Daphnia pulex: one gene and its partner. The protein of the gene in region 1 purifies or fractionates together with the protein of each later gene. This does not show direct contact. Links are inferred from orthologs where the notes say so. Each region holds a gene or a part of one and is shown in the gene's direction. Other genes may lie near its edges.

What was found.
Region 2: the proteins of dynamin-binding protein-like (region 1) and bridging integrator 3-like purify together in Homo sapiens (co-immunoprecipitation; 5 studies listed by BioGRID and IntAct, counting the BioPlex papers as one, with this or other methods). This does not show direct contact. The link is inferred for Daphnia pulex from reciprocal best matches to the Homo sapiens genes DNMBP and BIN3.

What each region holds. Positions count from the first base shown.
Region 1 is NC_060018.1:2,573,507-2,577,337, forward strand, and holds the end of dynamin-binding protein-like, read left to right. Parts: coding exon 1-150; intron 151-223; coding exon 224-373; intron 374-449; coding exon 450-620; intron 621-682; coding exon 683-751; intron 752-840; coding exon 841-1,077; intron 1,078-1,146; coding exon 1,147-1,308; intron 1,309-1,372; coding exon 1,373-1,555; intron 1,556-1,629; coding exon 1,630-1,854; intron 1,855-1,913; coding exon 1,914-2,103; intron 2,104-2,190; coding exon 2,191-2,609; intron 2,610-2,678; coding exon 2,679-2,787; intron 2,788-2,859; coding exon 2,860-2,942; 3' UTR 2,943-3,376; downstream 3,377-3,831. UniProt on the Homo sapiens protein: Plays a critical role as a guanine nucleotide exchange factor (GEF) for CDC42 in several intracellular processes associated with the actin and microtubule cytoskeleton.
Region 2 is NC_060017.1:5,564,003-5,567,523, forward strand, and holds bridging integrator 3-like, read left to right. Parts: upstream 1-1,649; 5' UTR 1,650-1,769; coding exon 1,770-1,777; intron 1,778-1,834; coding exon 1,835-1,942; intron 1,943-1,998; coding exon 1,999-2,695; 3' UTR 2,696-2,858; downstream 2,859-3,521. UniProt on the Homo sapiens protein: Involved in cytokinesis and septation where it has a role in the localization of F-actin.

The sequences.
Region 1 (3,831 bases):
GAATTGAACCGATGTAACGTAAACACTGAAGAATCGAATTCAACGAATCAATCAATCGGCAAGAGTTTTATTCAGACGGAACCTGAATTTCGTCGCGTATATAGCCTTTATTGCATTAATCATGATAACGCGCAGTTTCTTTTGGAAAAAGTAATTGTTGTTGTTGCTTTTTGCGCAACTTCTTATCTCAACAACTTACCCCTTAATCTTTTTTTTACTGCAGTACGAAACTCTGCCCAGCGTCCATAAAGTGTTGGATGAAGGGATCGCCACTCTTCGAAACGAAATAGTTTGCTTCAATGTGGGTTCAGTCATTATTAAACCTGTTCAACGCATACTGAAATATTCCTTGATATTGGGAGAACTGATAAAGGTGATCTATTTTTCTACTGTTATCTACGACAAAAATTTGATCACAGATGACTGAAGTATTTGTTTTTGTTACACAGCATACCGAGAATGATCACCCCGATAAAAGCAACTTGGTATTAGCCTTGGGACTGATGACTAATGTTGCCTCGCATATCAACGAAAGCAAGCGCAAAAAAGAAATTGTGCTCAAATATCGTGATTCTGGATTGGAAGAAAAGCTCAGTGCGAGAATCTCTCGTTTTAACATGGTAAACCGTAGAATTAAAAAATTAGCTTTACTGAATTATAATAACGTTGTTTCATTGAAAAGCACTCTGTGGCAAAAAAATCTTCTCGAATTGGCATGCTCTTGAAAACGTCACTTGGCATGGCTCCCACGGTCAGTTTTCTTCAAATGCCTCTAAATTATCGTCTGCCATTTCCAGATAATTGTTTGTTTAGTGTTAAGTACCCTTCTTTTATTTACAGACGAAGGACATAGCTTTCGAGGAAGTAGAACTTCGTTTCGGAGAACTGTTTCGTGTCATCCAGGCGGCTTTGCGAGATATCACTGCCGTATGTGAGCAACTCAAGGGCACTTCACAAATACAGTTCAATATATCAGAAGCTTTTGCTTCTTTCTACGGTGAAGCAAACAGAGTCCCACTGATCGACAACTTCCGTACAGCCCAACGTATAATTTACACACAGCACTGGAACTCATTTGTGAGTGCAAAAGTGTTTTTTTACGCCATCATTAGAATAATATAAGTAAATAATGTTTTATCATCTTAGGACGCTTACGTCATACAACATGTACGTAACCCTTTAACGGCTTTGTGCGACGCCTGCGTGGGTCCTGAAAGGCTAATTGTTAAGAGACGAGACAAATTGCTCGATTCAAACATCGCTAGCGAGCGGTTGGCTAGAAATAGAGATCCAGCAATGAGACGCACCGTGAGCTTTTTGTTTATCTATGCATGAAGTGATGTGACTTATTAATAGATGATTTGAAATTTAGTTGGAGGAAGAAGAAAACCTAGCTCGAAATACCCATTTAGCTCTTAATAGTCAACTTATGGAGGAGCTTCCAATCATTACAGAGCACGGATATAATATATACCGACGCTGCGTTTCGTCGTTTTTATATGCCAGGAAGCTTTTGGTTGGACGGATTACTAAATCTTTATTAGATTTAAATGAGGTATAGAAGTCTATTAGAATATTTGGTCGTTTTCTCCAACAAAAATTATTATTTCTTACCGATATTATATTTAGATTTCAGATATCGCCAGTCTTCAAGGAGAAATAGAGGAGGATTTCCAACTTTCCTACGGCAAAGCCGTGGATCGCTTATCTAGAATTACTTTTATTAATAAATCCTTTCGCCGTTCATCCACCAATGTTGTGTCAACCGATGGATCTGTTTCTCCCAATGATCCTGTGCCAGTACGGAATAGGCTTTCTTCTGCTTTAGGCAATCATAGCCCCGGAGAAGGAATTGTAGGTTCCATAATCATTAATATTTAGTCGATCTTTTGTATTTATTTGTCATGAATCAGGTTGTTCAAAGTCGAGAAACGGTCAATATTCTTCGCTCAAAATATCAACCCGAGCAATTGTACATGGTGACAGGTCGTTGTGAAATTAGGGATCCAATGGACTTGTCAGCTAATTCCGGTCTAATTGTCAGTGTCGTCAAACGAGAAGATCCAATGGGCAATACTGGCCGCTGGTTTGTTGATGCCGGAGGTAAAATCATATTTATAATTACAGGGAAATATATAAATTCTTATTTAACTAATAAGTTAATCCCTTTATATGTTTCGTCAACGTCAGAAGTGCGAGGTTTCTTACCTGCTAAACATCTAAATCTTTTTTCGCCACCTGCATCGACTCATTTAAGACCCGAATCCACTACGTCGGTGGCATCGAGTGTTGTGAGTGTTACCTCTTGTAATTCTAGCTCATTGGAAAAACTCTATTTCGATGAAGAAGAAGAACCAAGTTCTACAAACGGAGAAAATGTATATGATTTACCTCCTTCGTATGAAGAAGCTTTGGGAAACGAAGAAGCACAGTCTCCCCATCGTTACTGCGAAATAGATGATTTATTAGTTGACGAATCCAATTCTAAAGAGATGAACGCAGCGTATTACTCTCCTGATGAGAAGGCTGAGAGTCCTATTTACGCTATCATAGAAGACATCATTCCATCAAGAGAAAGCAAAGAGAAGTTATCCTCAACGGAGAATAATGTGCGTAATCATTTTGATAGCACATAGCTTTATCACATAATAATGCTACTGATAAATTGTATTTTTCAGATTTATAAAGTGGAATTTACATTCCAAAAAAGCACAATCTTAGAGATTGATTTGCTTGAAAATGAACTCGTCACTGTCCTTGCTAAGCACGATGAAGGTGGAAATGAAGGTGAAATAATATTTTTATTTATCCTAGAAAACAGTCAAATGGCAATATACTTTTTTTTCTAAAAAAACTCAGAATGGTGGTTGGTAGAAAACGATTCAGGAGCTCAAGGATACGCACCCGCTGCATATCTAACAAAATGGCCACAGACGTTGTAGTTCCTCATTTGATGAAACTCAAATGTTACATTTCGCATTTTATATGAAACTTCAAAATAACTGGTATAACATTTTATTTTGAAAAATTTATCTGTGTAATTTACCGGTATATTTACTTCTTCGTACGCAGAAAAAAAAACAATTCATATTACATATTTAACCAAACTGAAACAAAACTTTTTCATTAATCCCTCTAATAAGTATAATCACTAATAACCAATTGGAAGCAACTAATCATCAAGTTGAAATCGGGGTTCTTAAATGGCTGTCTTGATAAGGGAGAGAAGAGAATAACGAATTTAAAATTGCATCAATTCGCTATCACTTTGATAGAGCGTATTCGAATATCTCGTTTCCCAATTTGCACGATTTTTTTCTTGTGTAAAACTGCCAGTTGTGCCTTTAAAGATATAAATAAATTGAAAATCCACCGATCTCTGCTGCGAGAGCAAGTTTCTCTCTAGAACTAATTAACCTGCTTGTTTTGAAATCTCCTATTAATGTAAACAAAAAAAAATTTAAAATTACGGTGTCTTTTTGATTCGGTTTTAGCCCAACTATTGTAACCTTTATCTATTTTTTTTTCATCCAATACCTGACGTAAAAATTCATTACATGTGACAGGTTGCATTGGTGTTGAAGAAATACCAAAAAACGTCCCAAACATCTAGCCTGAAATATTTCCAAATCGTGGTAGAGACCTTTTCTATCACATATATTAGTATTTTTCGTGTTGAATCAGTGAAGAATACTCTATTTTACAATAATTAAAAGAGAAAACTCATTACACGTGTTAGGTTGCATTGGTGTTGAAGAAATACCAAAAAAAACGTCCCAAACATCTAGCAAGAAATATTTCAAAATCTTGTTGGAGACCTTTCCTATCACA
Region 2 (3,521 bases), on another chromosome or scaffold:
AAAAAATTACATTTATTAACACTTTCACTTTCAGGCACTTTCACTGCACGTGAATAGAATTGAATCGAATCAATACCAAGAATAAATAAATAGCAAGATCACCAACCGCCAACCCGAACCAACTAAAACCCATCACAAATTCTAAGAAATGCCTAACAAATTACAAATAGCAATCAAGCTAATTAAGCTAACATCAAAACCCCTAACAAATAAAAATGGCGACTCTTTCTCTCAAAAGCTTCAGCTGACAAAAAACCAAGAAAAGGGTAAGGGCTTAAAAGGCTAGCCTACGCCCAACAACTGAAGACAAACCTGGCCACTAGATGTCATCTTCAGTGTCTCAGCCAACAACAATACAATTTTTCAAAAATTATTACGACTAAATCCATCAGGGGAACTTCACAATTTGATGGGTGGACCAATTTACCAAATTCGTCAATCACTTCAATCAGGCTCTGAGCAGAGAGATTGATTTGGCAGCGGAGGAAATGAAACTGACTGCATTTCACTTCCACTTCATCTTCGCTCAACGTCTTCCAGAGGTGAGCAGCTTCTGCGTTGCTACTCTCGTCCACCATCTTCACTCAATTTTAGATTACAAGCATCCTGGGTGTCAGGGCACACGAAATAGCGTTCACGTGATGAATTCTTCCTGCACTGTGCACTGTTTGTTGGTAACTTAGTATATGTATTAAAAAAAGAAAAAAAAAAAAACAGTTGAGTGTTATGCATCTTAGGTTTGTTTGTTAACTATATCATGGGAGTCACCTGCCTCAGATAGTAGATAGCTCTTGATAAAGAGTTTTTTCAAATTCTGTCTTGACCAAAAGTCCAAACTGCAGCAATATTTCATTTGATAGGGGACTGGTAGTAGTATCATGTATTTCTTTCCCCAACGCATGCATTTCATCGCCAAAGCCAATTTCTTCCCGGATGTCAGTTCTTTTGGCAAAGATGCGTTTTGCAATGAACCTGCATTCGCGCCGATCGGTCCATTCCGTCGCCCGTCGGTCGTGACCTAAAAATTCCAGAGTCCGAAAAGAAAATTAAGACATTTCGTTAAAATATCCAGAAAAAGTTATTTTTACTAAAACACTCAATCTCGAGATGCTAAAGTCTTTCTCAATAGCCTTGTTCATACCAGCTGTAAGAGATTGGCTCTAGAAGACAACACATTAGAGGGTAACGGGACATCCGTGGGTAACACAGCATTCGAGAGGTAAAAAGCAAACTTTTTCGTTAACGGACTCATTTGCCAAATTCTCACTACAATCAAACAATTAAATTATTCGTGATTAAAGCTTTGCGACACCTTCAGTCATCACCTACACTGTTAGGTGGTCACTTTGCAACTGGTTTGGTGAATGGTGATGCAGACGAACTTCCGAAAGAACTGGGAAAGTGGGAAGCGCTGTTGCAGTGCTGTTATTACTGTCTTATTAGTTATTACGGATTTACGGCCATTAGTGAGTTACTGAACGTTATAATATTTAAGTTTATAATGTAACAAAAATTACAAACAGAAACAGCCTGGAAAGTGGACACAGCCTACCTTTCTATCGGAGGTAGCTGAGTGAAAAATGCAACGCTGGATGTTAATTGCTTATTGTAAAAATTAAAAATCTTACAATTCTGTCCCATAGATGGCAGAGTGCAACAACTTGTTGTTTTCGGTTGGGTTGGTTCTGTTTCTGTTGTGCAATATATTTTGTCTTGGTTTATGTCCCATGAGATAAGACAACTCAGGTGGGATCGTGCGGTTTGGAATCATGAATTGGTATATTATTTGCAACTTATTATTATTAAATGCAAATTTTTAAAGTATTTTTTGTAGGGGTCTAATGAAAAGAAGTCAGCTTCATGCTAGGCCATCACCTTCATGTGGACTATGCACAATTGCCGAAGAAGCAGATATTGATTATGCATTTCTCCGGCTTCAAAAGTATTTATTTTTAAGTTGATTTCAAGTATTAAAATACATTTTTTTTTCATGTACAGGCTTGAAGAAATCAATCGAACAGTCCAAAAAGAGTGCAAGAACCTGAAAGAGTCATTTTCCACTTTAGCCCGTTGTGAACAGAAGCTCACTTCAGATCTGTCATCATGTAACCAAGTGTATGAAGAGGAACATTTCAGAGTCTTAGCAGAAGAATACCACTCAGTTTCCAAACAAATGGGGGAATCTGCCAAACAATTTTCTGATATTGTACAAGTTACTGTGAATGACCCCTTAAAGAAACTTGCTAATGAATTTGGAAGTGCACAAACAGCTATTAAAAAAAGAGATCAAATGATTACTGATCTCCTTCCTGTAAGAAAACAGTTAGAAAAACTCAAGGAAAAGGAGAGAACAGGAACAAACATTGCAAGGACAGAGCAGCTTAAACGTTCCTTATCTGTTATGGAAGGAGATTTTAAAACTACAAACAAACAACTATTGAATGACATGAACACAATGTTGGATCTGCGAGCAGATTACATTGAACCATCCCTGTTAGCATTAATTCGAGCCGAAACTAATTACTATGGTGAATGCACGAAACTATTCAATTCATTAGTCCTTCACAGCGGCACTAGTCCTAAAAGAACTTCTCCGAAAGCGACAAAAAGCGAACCAGCTGCTTCAGAGTTAATAGCACAATTTAGTCAAGATATGCAAGCTATACGTGCTCTTTCCATTGTTGCTGATAAGTAAAATTAAAGCTATGCATTACCAAAAATTTGTTGTAACAGTCCATCCAGCATCCTATACCCGTCACATTTCTTTCCTATAATAATATTTAGTATTGGTGTGCACTCAAGTGTCTTAAAAACTGTTATAAATACTTTTATAAATACAGAGTACATTTTTCGTCGAATATTTTCTAATTACATCTTATATATATTTCGTTTCCTATTGCTCCATGCCTCCATCAACAAATTCTTAAGTAAATGCGTTAGATGAATGAATTTATTGATATAGGCAATCCATCATATGACCACTATATAAGTAAATTACATTGATGCGCGCCACGGATTGCAAATTCAATCGATTCAAGGAAAAACAAATTATTTCCACTATAAAAAAAGAAGGGAAGAGAAAAAAAAATAAGGGAGGCGGTCGTCAGGGAACAACTCAGTAGAAGGCTTAATGTGAAAGTTGGGGAAATGATCAATACAGAAATTCCTTTTTAGTGGCGTTGGGAAACAAGGTTACTCGCACATTATTTCACGCCATTGATCTGCTGGATATACAATTAAAAGAGGCGGATTAAAAAACTCATACAGAACTCAATTGTCGATTTGAATCGATGGCAGTCCGACGTGTCATCCTGAAAATAATATTTAAAAACAATTCCAGGTGAAAAGAACAGCGTCTGACGGCTAAGTTGGGCACGTGTTTGCGTGTGTATCTGTGATTAATAAACATTTTATTTTCCAATATATCCATTCAAAGAACCTTCCTCTGTCTCTCGCCTCCTTCAATCTCTCTACACTTCGACTAGCCAGCAGCTGGTTGTGAAAGAAGAAATTAAGGCCCG